Linked DNA regions of Canis lupus familiaris. The protein of the gene in region 2 purifies or fractionates together with the protein of the main gene of each other region. This does not show direct contact. Links are inferred from orthologs where the notes say so. Each region holds a gene or a part of one and is shown on either strand. Other genes may lie near its edges. The genes, in order: RACGAP1 and SHCBP1.

Region 1 (9,642 bases), on a different chromosome or scaffold from region 2:
TCCAATCTTTCTTTACCCTGCCCTCCCACCTCCCACCCTGAAACAAGTCAGTCTTACCAAAGAGGTGTGGCTTCTGTCACTGTCTCATGGAAATTAGTTCTGAATAACACCAGAGAAAGATCAGTCCATGAGCAGCATTTGGCTTTAAGCCAAAGGGATGCGGCCGCCCCAGCCCTCCCCCCATCACAATGAATTCCATATTCTCCCTTCTACTGCTGTAAAGATCTCCCATCTAAAAGTTCCCAACAACGACAGCACAAGGTGTTGATATTACATTACTTGAGGAGAAAGAGAGGGAGATATATATAGTTTTAATAAAACTCCCATGCACAATTAAACTTGATTAAAAGCCTGGAGAATGCTAAAAGTAGTAATGAGTACAGGAGGCTGCAGAGCAGAGAGTACAGGTGTGCCCTTCCTTGCTCAGTAAATGCTGGCAGGTAACAGGAGACATGACTTCACTTAAGCATTGGAGAAGCAAAAAAGTTGCCTTGTCGTCCTAGGTTGGTGGCAGACTTGCTTTTGCTCCCAAACCTAAAGAGAATGAACCGAAAAAGTATTCCATAAAAAGAAGGTCAATAAACAACTCTAACATTACTTGATATTATCAGCTAAAAATAGGAAACCCTCAACAACTACTCTGTAAACTACTCTTTGTCGCCTGAGAGGAGAGAGGGGAAACAAAACCTTTAGGCCCTTCTCAAAAAGGGGTCATTATGGCTCCAGATTAGCTTTCAAAGGCTAGCTGCTAAGCTGAGGCCTCATTCAATTTTCCCTTTGATAAGCTTCACTATGCTGGGAAAAGAGGTCTAAGGGAAGAGTCCTTTTTTACTTCCTAAGCCGGCCAGTTCCACATACCTGGGTGTGTTCTTGGTGAGGGTGGAGCGTACTCTCTGTGACAGGGAACTAGAAGAAGGAGTCTTGAGAAGCTGATGCTCAGGAGTGGTCACGGGCCCCAGTAAGCTCACTTCAATCAAAGGTAAGACACATTTTTAAAGGAGGGGCAAAAAGGAAAGCACCCTTGTGGGTGTCCAGTTTTGAGCTGAATATTCTATGAAGCACTTAAGAGCTAAGGTTAGAGACCCAAGCAAAGCCCCAGTGATCATTTTTGTCATCGTCTCTAACACACCAGTATATCTTTTGAACCATGCAGGCCTCTGATCAATGAATAGCTGACATTTGTTTCCTGATTTAGGCCATTCTCAAACTCCAACATTCACAAATCTAATGTCTGACCACTTGATTCTGACCAGTGTTAAAAAAACAACATTCTTTCTTTAAAAAGATCTTGTAAAAATGAGAGATCAGGTCTCCAATGCCAGTACAAATTGGAAGAAACCAACCTCAAACATTTTTGGTGGCAATACAAAATGGCAAAAGCCTTTAAGAAATCAAGTTGGTGAAACATAAAAATGTTCAAGCCATTTTTGTCTTTTTTTTTTTTTTTAAATGTTCAAGCCCTTTAATTCAACTATTCCCATTCTTGGGAATTTATCATTAGGGGAAAACAAAGGTAGACACATATAATGCTGATAGCAGCATTATTAGTAACTATGGAAAATTCAAAAATAACATCAACCTCTAGTAGAACATGTTAAGTAAATTACAGTTTATGATCATAAAAATGATAAAATTATATAGTAACAGGAAGAGTTCTCACAATATGCTAAGTGAAATAAGATCAAATCATAGCTGAATCGTTATTATATTTCTAAAATATCCATATATATAACGAAAAGAAGAACCATGTTCCATAAAAGTGAAAAAAAAATTAGGATGATAGAACTGTATAAATTTTCTTTTAATGTTAGAATACTCACAATGAATTTAATTTTTACTGAAGAATATGAATTCCAAACAGCTCTAGCAAAGGCAGAGCTGACCTTTGCTAAAACCAGGAACAGAGTCAGGTCCCTTAGAAACACAACTTGGGCCTTACCTTTACTACTTGGTGTCTGCGGTGTTGAAAAGGCATTTGAGTTTTCAATGACATGAATGGGTTCAATGTTCTCTTGTTCCACCATCATAAACTGACTCCAGTATTCCAGGGGCAGGGAAAGCAGGCGCTCTACCACCTAAAAAGCCACTAAATAAGTTAGCACACTTCCAAAGCTCAGGGCTTATCTCCCCCCGGTCTCTCACGTTATCACGTCACACAGGTTTATACATGGTTATGTATTTTATATATATGGTGGACTTGCCTACCTTGGGCTGACGCTTGATGTCCTGTAACATAACCACTGGATCTGGATTGGGCACAGCATGGGCAACTATGGTAGGCCCAAAGACTTTAGCCAGATTGGTCACATCCATTTTAGTGTTTGGGCTCTGAGCCACTCTAAGCAAGAGAACATTCATTTAAAAGACTTGCTCTTCTGCTTAAACACAGACCACAATATAAGATCTACCAGGGAACAATTCACCCATCACATTTCCTCCCTAACACCCAACCCACATTATGTTCCCAGTGGCAAATTCCCAAACTCCCCTCCCAAAAGTGAGTTTCTGCTGTACTCACCTCTGCAAGTGAATCATGAGAAAAGCTAATGTGTCTCTGTTGGCCTGGGGCAGTTCACCAACAGCCTGGTACATGGCAGCTATGCTGTTGTCCTCATCTGTGATTTCTGTAAATGAAAAGAAAGCACCAAGAGGTCTGACTTCTTTCCCTTGACAGCGTGCTTCCAAGTGATCGACCACAAAGTCTCATCTATACAGTAAGCTTCTGAAACTTCTGATTAGGTTCATGACTGCATCAAACTCCAGTTTCATTAACAAGCAGAACACTGGCCAACAGCTCAATATTAGAAATCAGAACCTTTAAAAAAATATCAGCTCCTGCAGTTAGGGAAAGCAGCTAGCAACCCATATGCTGGGGAGGCAGGCACACAACTGCACTGACTATAATTACCAAGAAGGTGTTGGTTTTAAGACATAGTCAGGGCCCTACTATGGACCAGATACTAAGTGCTCAGGCAAAGCACCATTAAACAAAGACCTTGCCTCACTGAACCTACATTCTATAGGAGGAGTTAGTCAAAAAGCAGGCCTTGATCAGGTAGTGATACACAGTAGAAGCTAGAAAGTAATGGGAACAGTTACTTTGGACAAGGTGGTCAGTCAGGAAAGGTGTTTCTGAGGACTAGATACCCAAAAAGAAACCTGAAAAGAAATAAAGGAGCAAATCATATAATACATTGCAGGCTGATGCAACAGCCTCAAGATGGGAATAAATTTGGTTATGTATCAAGAACTATGTACCAAGTATTCCAGGATAAATGGAGAAGAAAGAAAGAAGGGAGGGATTGAGAGAAATGATACTAGAGATGGAATCAGGAGCCAAATCAGACAGGTGGGGCTTTTGGGGCCATGTTAAGGACCATGGATTTATTCTGAGAGTGATGGGGAGTCACTGGAGAATACTAAAGACAGAAGAGACGTCATCTAATTTAAATTTCAGAAGGACCCTTTTAGGTACCGTTTGAGGATCATAGTGCAGAGGGCAGGAGTAGAAAGAGGAAAATGAGTAGGTTCCTCCATCACTCCAGGGTGAGAGATGTCAAGAGTGGTAGTAGCAGGAGTGGCAAATTTCAACTTTAACTTTTTTTAAAATATTTTATTTATTTATTCACAAGAGACACACAGAGAGAGCCAGAGACATAGGAAAAGGGAGGAGAAGCAGGCTCCATGCAGAGAGCCCGGGACTCCAGGAACATGCCCTGAGGCAAAGGCAGACTCAACCATTGAGCCACCCAGGTGTCCCAAATTTCAAGAATTTCAAGTTTAAGATAAATTTTGGGGATCCCAGGGATCCCTGGGTGGCGCAGCGGTTTAGCGCCTGCCTTTGGCCCAGGGCGCGATCCTGGAGACCCGGGATCGAATCCCACGTCAGGCTCCCGGTGCATGGAGCCTGCTTCTCCCTCTGCCTGTGTCTCTGCCTCTCTCTCTCTCTCTGTGACTATCATAAATAAATAAAAAAAAATTAAAAAAAAAAATTTGGGGGGATCCCTGGATGGCTCAGCAGTTTAACGCCTGCCTTTGGCCCAGGGCGCGATCCTGGAGTCCCGGCATCGAGTCCCACGTTGGGTTCCCGGCATGGAGCCTGCTTCTCCCTTCTCCTGTGTCTCTGCCTCTCTCTCTCTCTCTCTCTGTGTGTGTCTATCATGAATAAATAAGTAAATAAATCTTAAAAAAAAAGAAAAAGATAAATTTTACAAGACATTTGCTGGCAAGATATGCCAACGGATTAAAGGTGGTGTGGGGAAAAGGAATCAATGATGGCTCTAAGTTCAAAAGGACAGCATCAAACTTGACCCCAAAACAAACAAAAACTTTGTTTAGACAGGAAGAGGATGGGCACCAGGAACACAGATCGTTATTCTTCCATCAAAGCATTTATGCATCCACTATGTTGCATGCACCGCACTGGGCAGGAAACGAAGAGTCAAAATAATCCTGCCCATGTGGAACTCACAATCCAGTATTAAGATCTACTCTTACCTGCTGCTTCCATGAAAGTCTTGTTTAGCCGAAAGGTCAGAAGGGGTTCTTTGAGGTTTCGAAGGAAGTCCTTCAGGAGGCTACAAATAGCATGGATATCATCCACTTTGCTGAGGAGGGGTACAGTTTTCACTCTGAGGAATTTCTCTTTCAGCTCTTTTACTGTTCGGTCACAGCCAGAGATCCGATACAGGCCTGTCTATTATTAAGGTGACACTTTCAGTTAAGAACTCCTAATTATTAACACAAATAACAAATTCACGATCTCTGCAGATTAACTTTTTTCTTTAGAGTCGGGGGCAGAGCCAGACAGGTGTAGGGCAGAGGAGAGGGAGAGAGAGAATCTTAAGGAGACTGACACGGGCTCCATCTCATCACGACCTGAGCCAGTATCAAGAGTCGCTTAACCAACTGAGCCACCCAGGTGCCTCTGAAGGTCGACTCTTACCTCAGTCAGCCCTCTCTGTTCAATCTCATTTACACAATGGACAACAATGGACGGGATCATTGGAGAAGTCTGGGACACATAATCTGCCAGCATTCCCTGAAAAGGGAGAGTTTTAAATTATTATTTATATCACTTAGACCAGCAAATCAAGAGGAAGAGGAAAAACCATCTCCAAACTAATACTGAGGCTGGGACATCATGTCTACTTTTAAATTCCTATTCCCAGAGTATATATTAGATCAGAGACTCTCAACTATACTTTTCCTACAACCACACCAGGACTGATTTATGGTCACATATACCACACTCTTGGGTGAACAAGTAGTAAGATGGACTGGCTACAACTCTGCCCCCGCTGGTCCTCTATTCAAGGGCCTCAGAAAACAAGAAATAATGAGATTATACGTATGGCCTTTAATAGGAAGTAATTTATTATTCTAAAAAAGGAAAACCTTTTTTACCCCTAAATTATTCTTAGTAAGAAAAATTACTTAATACAATTAACAGTTGATCAGGACACAAACCTATCTGAAGGGGAGAGGTCCATGGTTCTCTATTGGAGTAGAGAAAATCTGTAACCGATTACACGCACAAATAAGAACTGTTAAGATTAAAGAAAAGTAACATTTGATTCGCTAGGGGCTGGGTAGCAGCATAATCATTTTGTTTTGAATCTTGTTAATGTTGTTCATACAACAAATAATTTCTTTATAGACTGAATCAGTTTTTAGAAATAAGCAATCTAATTTTAATAGCCTAGTATGGAATACCTCTAACATAAGAGAAAGTACATTCACAGATGAAATCACGTGATGGCTGGGATTCGTTTCAAGATAATTTACTGGACAGGGCCAGGAGGAGAACAGGGGGGTACTGATAAGTCAAGCTTGGATGTGAACTAGTAATCACAACAGCTGAGTGACAGGAACCAGAGGTCAGTTGTCCTAATCTCTCTACTTCTGTGTATGTTTGAGATTTTATAAAACAGGAATAGCATGTAGAGAGGGGAAGGAGGAGAAGAAGAGGGAAGGAAGGAGAAGGGAGAGGAAGGAAGGAAAGAAGGAAAGGGAGGGAGGGAGGATGAACAGAGAAGCGGGGAGAAGGTGGAAGGAGGGAGGGGAAGAAGAGTCTGATGTAGAAACAGACAAACCCAAGCAGGAGTCTACTGAAAGTTAACATTTTACCATTTCTCTTCATCATTCCTGGGGAAAAACTATGCTTGGCATCACTAATTTTAGGATTAAAACTGACATTTAGCTTTGAAAAAGCCAAAGAAGCCATACCACAAAGACGGGCCCCACAGGTCGTACCTCTCCAATCTTGACAGGTGTTCCTATCAGAGTAGGAATGCAGGGAAGGGGACAGCGGTCCCGACATTCTGGATGAGAGACCACACGACAGTCTCGACACTTCAGAGACAGCTTGCCAAATTTTATCCGCTTGCCACATGGAACACAAGATTCAGGTTTAATAACCTGAGGACAAAAGAGGGCAGAAAGAACAGAGTGGTCTTAGAAAACTATCATCATCAATAGTTAATTTATTAGGCACTTAGTACCAAATAACTTCCTAATCCCTTTACACCTATTTGTGTAATTCTCACAATAATCCTACAAAAGAGGTTTTTGTTCTTTCTTTTAAGATAAGGAAACGGAAGCCAAAAGAGGCTGTGTCACTTGCATGAGGTCATCCAGCTGGAAGGGGGCAGTGTACACTAGAGGAAAGAATCTGTTGACAAGAAGTTAACAAAGTTTCCATATTAACTCTGCCACTTACTTTCCTGTGGCTCAAATAAACTCTTCTGAGCCTGTCAGATTGCTTAGGTTTTTATGAGGAAATCCAATGGGACAAAGGAAAAACATGCTGTATTCAAGCATACACTGTAAATGTGTATCACTAAAAAGCACCAACAATTGCTTCTGAAAAGTTGGCTTGTTTTAATTTAATATTCCTCACAGAATGTAAAGATAGACATCTTCTGTAACTGATAGTGAACCCTGAAGAGTGGAATTGAAAGAAGGAGATCTGACATTTAACTTTCTAATATTGAGTTATTTAAATTTGTTTCTAGTATATTTTACTTTCACAATCAAAAACTTAAGCGTGCCCAAAAGAACAAAGTGATCACAGATCTACCGTCTTAGAGACGAAGTCATGCAGGCGCATCCCTCCATTATTCTGCGGGGTGCCAGAGTTGTCTGTCTCAGTTTTTGGCTCTAGCTGCCTGCTGCTCAAGGTAGAGTCACTGTTCCAAGGCTGTAAAGTACCTAGAAAACAAGCAACTTTAAGCTTAATATTTTGTTCCTTCTGAATTTTAACCCCAAGTTTAATATAACTGGTAGATGACCAGTAATTTGTAACCATAATCAGAAGTGACTACAATCGCTATGCAGAAAAATCATTTCAAGAATAACAAGTTACCTGGAAAACTGTGTGGAGGTTCCTCAAAGAGTTAAAAATAGATCTGCCCTACAACCCAGCAATTGCACTGCTGGGGATTTATCCCAAAGATACAAATGCAGTGAAACACCGTGACACCTGCACCCCGATGTTTCTAGCAGCAATGTCCACAATAGGCAAACTGTGGAAGGAGCCTCGGTGTCCATCGAAAGATGAATGGATAAAGAAGCTGTGGTCTATGTATACAATGGAATATTCCTCAGCCATTAGAAATGACAAATACCCACCATTTGCTTCGACGTGGATGGACCTGGAGGGTATTATGCTGAGTGAAATAAGTCAATCGGAAAAGGACAAACATTATATTCATTTGAGGAATACAAAAATTAGTGAAAGGGAATAAAAGGAAAGGAGAGAAAATGAGTGAAAATATCAGTGAGGATGACAAAACATGAGAGACACCTAACTCTGGGAAATGAACAAGGGGTAGTAGAAGGGGAGGTGGGCGGGGGGTTGGGGTGACTGGGTGATGGGCACTGAGGGGGGCACTTGGCAGGATGAGCACTGGGTGTTATGCTATATGTTGGCAAATTGAACTCCAATAAAAAAATTAAAAAAAAAAAAAAAAGAATAACAAATTATAGGGCACCTGGCTGGCTCAATAGGTTGAGTATCTGACTCTTGATTTTGGCTCAGGTCAGGGTCTCATGAGTCATGGAATCGAGTCCCATGTAGGCTCCATGCTCATGGAGTCTGCTTGAAGATTCTCACCCTCTGCCCCTCCCCCCACTCTCACTCTTAAATAATCTATAGGAAAAAAAAAACAACAACGAGTTACATGTGAGTGGCATAGGGCAGGCTAGCAATCTAAAGGTAGAGTATGACAGTGTCCTGGCCTTCAGTAAGCAGCAGTAAGAAACCACCCACAACATCTACTCCCTGCCTCAAAAGGTTCTTAAAAAACCAAGTCTCCCCCAATTTTACTAGTTGTTTTACACAGGCAATTTAGTTAGAAACCCAATGGACCTGTTTTCCTTCGGCTTCTCATCCAATATGGTACAGTCTCAATTGTGGACACAGCTTCGATGGGCCCGCCATCATTGGGAACAGTCACCGTAGTTTTTGCAACTATAGATTCATTCCCCTGAAACAAAAGTAGAAATGAGGGAAGAACAAACATGTGAATCTCATTTCCCCTCCACTATAGGGTGTTTTGGAGTGGCTGAAAACTCCTAAATCTTGGCCAGGACTTAAGGCCCTAGCTCAAAACACTCAGTTGAAACCTTGTACTTTAGAACAGAAATATAGGTCACAGAGGCATACACATAAGCAACTACATAGAATCAAATACAAAACCAACAGTTGTTTACTCAGAGTGATTCCATTCATGTGGATGATAAGGATCCTATTATTACACAGAAAAACTCACCAAATCTCTCTCTCAAAATAACATTACAGCGTTGATTCAGGATTCTATTTATTTATTTGAGAGAGAGACAGAGAGAGCACAAGCAGGGTCAGGAGCAGAAGGGGAGGGAAAGGGACAAGGAGACTCCTCACTGAGCAGGGAGCCCAACGTGGGGCTTGATTCCAGGACCCCAAGGATCATATGTTTAACAGACTGAGCCACCCAGGTGCCCCTTGACTCAGGATTCTTAGTGCTTGGGGCCACTAATCTCTAATGTGTTCACAACCACAATTCTCTTGGCCTGACTATTCTTACCTGGTCTACTGTGGAGCCAATGGAACGAGTCTTCTTTACAGGTCCAGGGGGACCATCAATGAACTGTCGGCTACTAGAGCGCTGGAAAGGAGACAAAGACCAATTAGTTTAGTGCCAAATAGAAGACCTGAAGCACAGAAGATAACATTATTCCATTAGACAACTTGGGTACAAGTCCTAGGTACCAGGGCTATGGTAAATAACAATGTTAGTTAGTTAGTTAGTTAGTTAGTTAGTTAGTTAGTTAGTTAGTTAGTTATATATATCATTCTATTTCCACATAAAGCTTAAGTTGTACCAACACAAAAATGCCCTCAATGCCCTGGAAGAAACAACCAAGCTTTGGAAAAATTTAGATGACAGCACCAGAAAAAGTAGAGCTGTAATCCTATCAAAAGACATGAAGTCTTTGGACACATATTAAGTACCCTAAACAAGCACACACAGACAGAGCTCTGCATATCCCATTATACACGTACTTCATCTGAAAATTTTTTAGAGTACAAAAGTCCTGCGTAAAAATTCCTATGACAACTCAAAACAAACTTAAGTAAATCCTTTTCCAATATATGAA
Region 2 (9,642 bases):
CTCTTATCCTTTGGGGAAGTAGTTTAGGTTTAAGTTCTTTTTGTTTTTTTGTTTTGTTTTGTTTTTTTAAAAGATTTTATTTATTCATGAGAATACACAGAGAGGAGAGAGAGAAGCAGAGACACAGGCAGAGGGAGAAGCAGGCTCCATGCAGGGAGCCCAATGTGGGACTCGATCCCAGGTCTCCAGGATCACACCCTGGGCTGAAGGCGGCGCTAAACCACTGAGCCACCGGCGCTGCCCTAGGTTTAAGTTCTAAATAAGTAAACAAAATGTGGGACCAAGATGTAAATGCATACTCCTGTTCTCTTTCTTCAAAGAAGTTCAGACACTTTTATGTACTAAGCCGGATGTAGTTATATAAGGAAGAGAAATAAGAAATCTCAGTTTCTCTGTGATAACTTTGAGAAATTTAGACCCTTCACATTTGTTGACTTTATAAATGGATTTTGTAGCAATTGAAGCTCAGTTGCTTTTTTTTAAATTAGACTATTTATTTTGAGAGAATTGCTGAGATAACATGCTGTTGTAAGCAGTAGAACAGAGAGATCCTGTATGTGTGTTCTGTACTAGTTGTAACATCCTGTAAAACTGTAGTACAACAGCACAGCCAGATAGTCCATTCAGTCAAGTTGAGTATTACCATCACTTCAAGGTTCCTGCATGTTGCCTTTTGACAGCGACAGCCACTTGCTTCTCCGTCACACCTCTTCTTTAATCACTGGCAAACCCTGGTCTTGTCTCCATTTCTGTTATTTCATCGTCCCAAGAACGTTATGTAAATGTAAATCATCATAACCTTCTGAGGTTGGCTTTTTTTACTTAGCACAGTTCTCTGGAGCTTCACCCAAGTTGTAGGTACCAAGTGTTTCTTCTTTTTTTATTGCTATTTACTATACTATTTATAGTATTCCAGCATATGTTTGTTGCACAGTTTGTTTAACTGTTCACCTGTTGAAGGATATCTGAGTTGTTTTCAAGTTTTGGCTGTTGTAAATAAAGCTACAGCCAACATTTGTGTACAGGTTACTATGGGAAACGTTTTCATTTCTCTGGAGTAAATGCCCAGGAGTGCAATTGTAGATCATGTGGCAACTGCATGTTTACTTTTTTTTTTTTTAAAGACGTGGCCAGGGATCCCTGGGTGGTGCAGCGGTTTGGCGCCTGCCTTTGGCCCAGGGCGCGATCCTGGAGACCCAGGATCGAATCCCACGTCGGGCTCCTGGTGCATGGAGCCTGCTTCTCTCTCTGCCTGTGTCTCTGCCTCTCTCTCTCTCTCTCTCTCTCTGTGACTATCATAAATAAATAAAAATTAAAAAAAAAAAAAAAAAAGACGTGGCCAGGGCAGCCTGGGTGGCTCAGTGGTTTAGCGCCACCTTCAGCCCAGGGCGTGATCCTGGGGACCTGGGATCGAGTCCCGCGTCAGGCTCCTTGCATGGAGCCTGCTTCTCCCTCTGCCTGTCTCTCTCTCACTCTCTCACGAATAAGTGAATAAAATCTTTAAAAAAAAAAAAGTTAAAATTAAAAAAAAAAAAGACATGGCCAAACTGTTTTCTAGAGTAGTTACGTCATTTTACATTCCCATCAGCGGATGTTTGAGTGATACAGTTTCTCTATATCTTCCCCAGCATTTGATATTTTTACTGTTCTAATTTTAGCCATTCTGTTAGGTGTGTGGTTTTAATTTGCATTTACCTAGTGGTTAATGATGTGGAACATTTTTTCATATGCTTACTTGCCATCCTTCTCTTCAGTGAAATGTCTATTCATGACTTCTGACCATTTTCTAATTGGATTATTTGTTCTTTTTTACTGTAGAGTTTTGAGAGTTCTTTTTATATTCTAGATACTAGTCCTCTGGTGGGTATTTGCTTTGCATACAGTTTTTGTTTTGTTTTTTTCTCTATCCTGAGAGTGTATACACCTGTGAGGCAGGCAGGGAGGGACGGGAGAGAGAGAGAGGGAGAGAGAGAATCCTAAGCAGGCCTCCTATCCAGCTCAGAGCCCCAAGATCATGCTCAACCAACTGAACCACCCGGGTGCCCCTGCAGATTTTTATGCTAGTCTATAGCTTGTCTTTTCATTTTATTCACATGGGCTTTTATAGAACAGAGCTTTAATTTATGATGAAGCCTAATTTATTGGATTTTTCCATTTATGGGTAGTGCTTTTGGTGTTAAGTGTAAGGAACTCTATGCCCAGCCTTAGGTCGCAAGGATTTTCTCTTATTCTTTTCTCCTAAAAATTTTATGGTTTACGTTTTACATGTAAGTCATGATCCGTTTTTGAGTAAATTTTGGTATAAATGTGAATTTTAGGTTAAGGTTTATTTATTTGCCCATAGATGTCCATTTGTAACCACACCATTTCTTAAAAAGGCTGTCATTCCTCCAATAAATTCGTTTTGCACTTTTGTCAAAAATCATCTGGGAAATTTGTGTGGGGATTTCTGTTTCTGTGTTCCCTTCTCCTAATGTGTGGACCTGTCCCTCCACCAACACCTGCTACTGTAAGTCTTGAAATCTGATAGTGATTCCTCCCACTTTGTCTTTTCCAAAATTGTTTCAGCTATTCTAATTCCTTTGCCTTTCAATATATATGTTTTAGAAAAATATTGTCTCTTTCTACAAAAAGTCTGAGATTTTGATAAGAATTTTTGTAAACCTGTATATCAATTTGGAGAGGATAGACACCGTTGTTTTGTTTTGTTTTAAGATTTTATTTATTCAAAAAAAAAAAAGATTTTATTTATTCATGAGAGACACAGAGAGAGGCAGAGACACAGGCAGAGGGAGAAGCAGCCTCCCTGCGGGGAGCCCGACACGGGACTCAAGCCTGGGTCTCCAGGATCAGGACCTGGGCCAGAGGCGGCGCTGAACCGCTGAGCCACCCGGGCTGCCCTTTTTTTTTTTTTAAAGATTTTACTTATTTATTCATGAGAGACACAGAAAGAGAGAGGCAGAAACACAAGCAGAGAGAGAAGCAGGCTCCATGCAGGGAGCCTGATGTGGGACTCAATCCTGGGACTCCAGGACCACGCCCTGGGCCAAAGGCAGTGCTAAACCGCTGAGCCACCCAGGGATCCCCCTATTCACTTTTTTTTTTAGTGCATTTTTTGTCTTTTGTTCAGATTGGGTAGTTTCTATTCTTCTATCTTCCCAGTTTACTGATTCTTTGCTCTGTCTTTTCCTTTCTGCTGGTGAGCCCATCCATGGAGCTTTTTATTTCTGTCATTTTTGAGCTCTGAAATTTCCATTTGGTCCTTTATATTTTCTGTTACTTTGCTGAGCCTTTCTGTTAATTTGTGTGCCTTTCATTTTTCATTTAAGTATGTTCATAATTGCTCATTAAAGCATTTTTATCATGGCTGCTTTAAAATCCTTGTCGGCTAATTCTAACATCTGACAGTTGGTCTTGGCATCTGTTGACAGTTTGACATCTTTCTGGCTCTTGGTTTGGCAAGAGATTTTCACCTGAAACCTGGATATTTTGTGGTATTATGAGAGCCTGGATCTTCTGTTTTAACTTCGGTGACACCAGTACAGGAAGGGTTGAGGTGGAGGGTACTGCCTCGTTACTGAGAGGTGCAGGGAGGGAGAAGTCCGGGTTCCCCATTTAGCTTCCATTGACACCCAGTTTGAATGGGGGAGCTCTTTGTTACTGCTGGGAGGGGGTAGAAATTCTGATTTCTTACATGATTTCCCTGATGCCACGGCCCAAGGCAGTGGCCTTGTTACACTGGGCAGTGGTGAAAGGCCAGGCTTCCTGCCAGGCCTGCTCTGGTACCACCCTAGTGGGGAGGAGCAGTAGCACTTTGACTGTCGGGTGGGAGTGCTGGCGCTTTGGCTGGTGGCTTCCTACTTGGCCTTCTCTGACACCACCCCACGGGGAGAGTTGCGGTGCCTGGTGATAGTCTTGAGAAGGATGTTTATGTTCTCCTTTCGGCATTTGCCAGCATGTGTGGGGACGGTCCACTGTTTTTATCTGTGGTGTTTGGCTGGCATAGAGCTATAATTGTCTGAAAGTTTTCTGACTTTCCAGGTTGCCTGGTTCTTTGGCTAGAGAGAGCAGGCTTTTCAGGAGGCTTCTGGTCTGTGTCTGGTGTTCGTGGATTGCCAGCTTCTTCAGCCTCAAGTCTGGGGAAGAAAGCCCAATTAGCAGATCTTTTTACCTAATGGAGAGTTAGATTGGTGTGTAGTGGGTCATCTGGGCATATATGTTCTCCTATCCCTAAAAGGGATATAATAATAAATTTTTCTCATGGCATACTCTCAACATACATACAGTAAATGTGTTATAAATGGTTAATAGCAGTGTTTCTTCATGTATGATATTATATATGAAATTATTCCGAAAATGATTTCTTAAATAACTAGAGGTTTGAATAAATTATTTTTACTTCCCAAAGTGCTTAGTATAACTTCAGTAAATAAATGATTCCTGTTATTGTTACTTCTTAATTGATACCATGTAGTCCCAAGGAATAATGTGAAAGAATTGTTCCATGCATGGATCTTTCTGGTTACTTTGTATAAATGATACACTTGAATTGGCTGCTAATTTTAACATGTGTGTAGTAGTGGAGGCCATTAATTCTTTAGCTCATACTGATTTTTAAGTTATGTTGAGATGTTTTAAAACTGATGGGTTTTAAAAAATATCAGGTCTATTTTCTATCCTTATATTACAATATTTTACTAGACTCAAATACTGTTCTCCAGCTAATTGAGTATCTCAGAGAAGATGTTCATTTTAAATAATTGCAAAATTGTTAAATACTTTGTTCTTTTTCTTTGGCAGGATCAGAAAACTGACTTGTCCAGAATGAAAGGGAGTGGGACAGTAATCAAGTGTTGATAATCTTAGCCAGTGTTTTGTGTGTATATCTGTGAATCATTTTTGAAAGTGATAAATGATAGAGAATTTGCTGGAAATGGAGCAAATGGAAATGTTGATTAGAAATATCTAACAAAGCTTTCTGTAAAATACTTTGTATTTGCACTATGTTAAGGTTTAAGAAGTGATTGTAATAAGCCTTCTCTTGTAGTCTTGTCTTTAAAAAACTGATTGTAACACCTTAAAACATAACTTGTAGGGTGCTGGTATAGAAATCTATCCAGGGAGTAAGTGCACCTTAAGTGACAATGGGATCCATCACTGCAAGGAAGGGATACTCATTAAGGTGAGTGCTCCTGCTAAAACACCCTCTTTCCAAAAGTTAGTTAGAATGGTTTCATACAAGAAATAATTGTGTTTCATTAAATTCTCATGTTGAGTTCTATTGTTTTCTGGTTTTGAAAGCACAAGCAGTATATACATCTTAATAATCATCTTGATATCAATAGTTGGTGATGTTCTTTTGTGAGAATATGTTGCTGCCTATAGATCTGCAGAAATGACAGAGGAATGCTATGTCACTCAGCTCGGACTGCACTACCACTTATTAATAAGCATAGCCTTCTCCTTTATTTTTAGAATAGCCGGGAAAAAGTGAGATTTTAAAAATCAGGTGGTGTTGAATGTGACAGTTCCTTAAAACATTTGTTTTCAATGTCACAGGACTTCTTAGATGAGCATTATGACATTCCCAAAATATCCATGGTGAATAATGTCATACATAATAATGAAGGTTATGGTGTTGTCTTGGTGAAACCTACAATCTTCTCTGACCTGCAGGAAAATGTCCAAGATGAAACCGAAGGTATGCTGTATTTAGTGATTTTTAAAAATAAAAACTGGATCTAGTTTGCTTTATTTCAACATTGAACTCTGATTAAGGATCCAAGTCTTCCTTTCCTTTAACAAAGATAACTGGCATATGCTTGGACTTGGGGTTGAAGAAGCTTGGGAAAGCTATAACATTGCAGACTCCCAGGGTGAAAGAAACTTTCAAGGTCAACTAGTTCACCTATTCCTTCTAAACCTTGGTGTGTGGTTGTAATAAGAATATTATTTGGTCCTGTAGTTCCCTTCTTTTTTTTATTTTTTATTTTTTTATTTTTATTTATTTATTTTTTTTTTATGATAGTCACAGAGAGAGAGAGAGGCAGAGACATAGGCAGAGGGAGAAGCAGGCTCCATGCATCGGGAGCCCGATGTGGGATTCGATCCCGGATCTCCAGGATCGTGCCCTGGGCCAAAGGCAGGCGCCAAACCGCTGTGCCACCCAGGGATCCCGTGTAGTTCCCTTCTTATCATGCTTGGCTTTCTGTATATTTATAGAATAAAGCTGGACATATGATGGCAATGGTAGCTCCTGCTGGCGTTTGTTAAGGGTGGAGGCAGAGAAGTGCGTGTGCCAGTCTGCATTTGCTGGAGGGGATCGTGAAGTTTGTTTCTATTTTTTATTGGCAGAAGTAAATGCCTCCCTGTCAACTGTCTTTCTATGGCAGCAAAGCTGAGTTAAATCGTTAGGAAATTCATGACTTTCAAGCCATGACCCAGATTACTATGAAATCTCAGTCAGAGAGGGATTAAGCATTGGCATGGGTGAGGAAAGTAGTCCTCATCATCCTCAAGACCCACTCTAGTTATCTGTGAGTTCTTTTTCTTCACACAGTTCTGTAGTTAGACGTCCAAATGGGCTTGTCTGCATTATGTACTTAGGGTCTCACAAGGGTGAACACAGAGGTGAGTGGGCTTTTGTCTGAGAGTTCTGGGGGGAAGGTCGGCTTCTGAACTCATTCATATCATTGGCAGAACTCATTTGCTTGGGCAGCCCCAGTGGCTCAGCGGTTTAGCGCCTGCCTTCAGCCCAGGGCGCGATCCTGGAGACCCAGGATCGAGTTCCACATCGGGCTCCCGGTGCATGGAGCCTGCTTCTCCCTCTGCCTGTGTCTCTGCCTCTCTGTGTGTGTGTGTGTGTGTGTGTGTGTGTGTGTCTCTCATGAATGAATAAATAAAATCTTAAAAAAAAAAAAAAGAATTCATTTGCTTGAGGTCATAGGAATGAGGTCTCCATTTTTTGGCTATATTGGCTGGGGATTGTCCTCAGTTTCTAGAGGCCAGGCTTGGCCTATAACCCTCTGTATCTCCAACTTTCCTCAAGAGAACCTCCCTCAAGGCAAATGTTGCTCATGCTTCAAATCTCTCTCACATTATGAATTTCTTCATGCTTTCTTTTCCTTCTTTTAAAGAGCCCCTATGACTGGATTAGGGACACCTAATTATCTTCTTCAAGTCAGCTGCTTAGTAACCTTAATGACATGTGCAAAATCATTTTGCCATTTAGCAGTCATGAAGGTAGCACCAGGGGTTGGGCGTTGCAGGAACCATCTAGAATTCTACCCCAGATACCTACTCACTGAGAATGCTGGCATCAGCTGCTGGAGTGGAGTTCCTTTAGGAAGAGTGGCACTGTCTTATTAATCTTTGCATCTAGCCCCTAAAGCCATGCGTAGTAGGTAGTAAATACTCAGGAAAGGTCTGTTAAGTGAAGGAGATTCTAGGGTAAAAAGAGAAAAGAATTCAAAATTGGTAATCCTTTTGAAAGGAGAGTCAGAAAGCTTTGGTACAAAGAGGAAAACGACTACTCGTTGAGCTACTTACAGCAAAGAGTTTGTAGAATCTACTCAGATGATGGCAGGAATCCTTGGCAGAAAAAACTTGAAAGCTCTCACAGAATATAGAAATATATATTTTTTTGTGGAGTTATTTTGTACATTTAACCTTATTTATTATAATTTATTTCTCCAGAAAATAGAGCACTTAAAGTTCCAACAAGTGAAGAGGCAGATACAGCAGAAAGGATAGATTTAGAGGAGCTGATTCAGTGTGCAACTGGCAAAATGGAGCTTTATGCAAGATCCAGCCTTTCTGAGCAAGTTGAAGGCAACTGTGAAATTGTGAATGAACTAGTTGCTGCCTCCACACAGAAGGGCCAGATGAAGAAGAAAAGGTTGAGTGAACTGGGGATCACGCAAGCTGACGACAAGTTAATGTCACAGGAGATGTTTGTTTCAATTGTGGGGAACCAGTTTAAGTGGAATGGGAAAGGGAGTTTTGGCACATTTCTTTTCTGACCACCATGATGTAAATAGATAGAAAAATAGTGGATTTTGCACATGCTGCCCTAAGAGTCACTGCTGCTGTGGTAGTTTGCTTCATGTCTGTATTTCACATTTGATATATTTGATTGGGTGTGAGTGAAATGACATCTATTTCTGTCTGCAGGTGTTGCACAAGAGACATTTCCTCTGTATAAGGAAGGTCATAAAAACATATAAAATAGAAATATAAAATAGAAAATGAAGATTTCTTATCTGGAAAGTCTTGCTTTCTCAAACACATCCTTCTGTCGTATTATTAAGCCTATCAGTAACTTTCTAGTATAAATACACTTTAACCTAGCACTTCGGACACGAGGAAGACAGAGAATACAAGATGAGTGCACAGAAATGCAATAGGTGTCAAATGTGCAGTGTTCTTACACTTGTCTTTTTCTCCCAATTAACAGCAAGTCTGATTTCCATGCTGCATTTGCATAATACTTGTCTTAAAATAAAAGCTTTTATGATTGGGAGGTTATCTGTGTAATCAGACTTATTGAGAATCTGAGTGTGATGCATTTTTATGTTGAACTATGTAATCATCAAAACAGTAATAGATAGCATGGCAGGTTTGAAACATGAGATGTGTTATTCAGAGCCAGTGCATAAGTAGAGCATTTTCACTGTTGCTGAATATGAATGATTAAAAAGAAGTTTTTTTTTTTTCGCCATAACAGTATTCTGATCAAATTTCAAGTATCTTAGACAAAGTGATTACTTTTACAACCTATATCAGCTCTGTGTTCTTGAATATCATATTGTAAAGCACAGCTTTTAAAATATTTATATTTTTAAAAAGTGTATGTGTCATTACTGATTAAAATTAAAATGATGAAATAAAAAATTGAATCTTGTTATATTTTTTCCAGATGCATTATGGGCCATAGCATATGTGTAGCATATGTAGCATGTGTGGTCCTTTGGAATGTGCACAAAGTTTATCCTTTTAGTGTTTTTTTTTTTTTTAATGTTTCAGAAAGAGTATTAAGGTTGGGGATCCCTGGGTGGCTCAGCAGTTTAGCACCTGCCTTTGACCCAGGGCGCGATCTTGGAGTCCCAGGACCGAGTCCCACGTCGGGCTCCTGGCATGGAGCCTGCTTCTCCCTCCTCCTGTGTCTCTGCCTCTTTCTCTCTCTCTCTCTATGTCTATGATGAATAAATAAAGAAATCTTTTAAAAAAAGGAAGAGAGTATTAAGGTTTTCCTTCAGTGTGGTTGGTTCTTAAATTGCATAATACTAAATGTGGAAGAATTTATGTTGGATATCTTGTCTGACTATTGAAAGGCATTTTTCTTTTACTCTTTTAAATCCTGTTGCAGAAGAAATGCTAATTCTGCATTAGTTGGAGCCAAATACTGATTTAAAAACCATTTATTCAACTTTAAAAAAAGTCAAATTGGTTTTCCAATCAAATTTCCACTTTATCTTGGAGTTTAGATTTCATATATTGTAACTGGCTGGAGTGAGTGTCAAGAGAATGACAAGTAGCAAGGTAAGTTAATACCTTCTTTATTCCTTTTTATAGCAGGATAGTTTTTATTTTATTTTATTTTTGAAAGATTTTATTTATTCATGAGAGACAGAGGCAGGGACA

What was found.
Region 1: the proteins of SHCBP1 (region 2) and RACGAP1 purify together in Homo sapiens (affinity purification with mass spectrometry; 8 studies listed by BioGRID and IntAct, counting the BioPlex papers as one, with this or other methods). This does not show direct contact. The link is inferred for Canis lupus familiaris from reciprocal best matches to the Homo sapiens genes SHCBP1 and RACGAP1.

What each region holds. Positions count from the first base shown.
Region 1 is NC_049248.1:41,936,409-41,946,050, forward strand, and holds part of RACGAP1 (rac GTPase-activating protein 1), read right to left. Parts: intron 9,150-9,642; coding exon 9,069-9,149; intron 8,490-9,068; coding exon 8,372-8,489; intron 7,213-8,371; coding exon 7,082-7,212; intron 6,421-7,081; coding exon 6,256-6,420; intron 5,042-6,255; coding exon 4,946-5,041; intron 4,697-4,945; coding exon 4,498-4,696; intron 2,625-4,497; coding exon 2,519-2,624; intron 2,339-2,518; coding exon 2,206-2,338; intron 2,076-2,205; coding exon 1,940-2,075; intron 968-1,939; coding exon 859-967; intron 535-858; coding exon 459-534; 3' UTR 1-458.
Region 2 is NC_049236.1:8,524,104-8,533,745, forward strand, and holds the end of SHCBP1 (SHC SH2 domain-binding protein 1), read left to right. Parts: intron 1-5,095; coding exon 5,096-5,182; intron 5,183-5,559; coding exon 5,560-5,701; intron 5,702-7,695; coding exon 7,696-8,021; 3' UTR 8,022-8,897; downstream 8,898-9,642. UniProt on the Homo sapiens protein: May play a role in signaling pathways governing cellular proliferation, cell growth and differentiation. May be a component of a novel signaling pathway downstream of Shc. Acts as a positive regulator of FGF signaling in neural progenitor cells.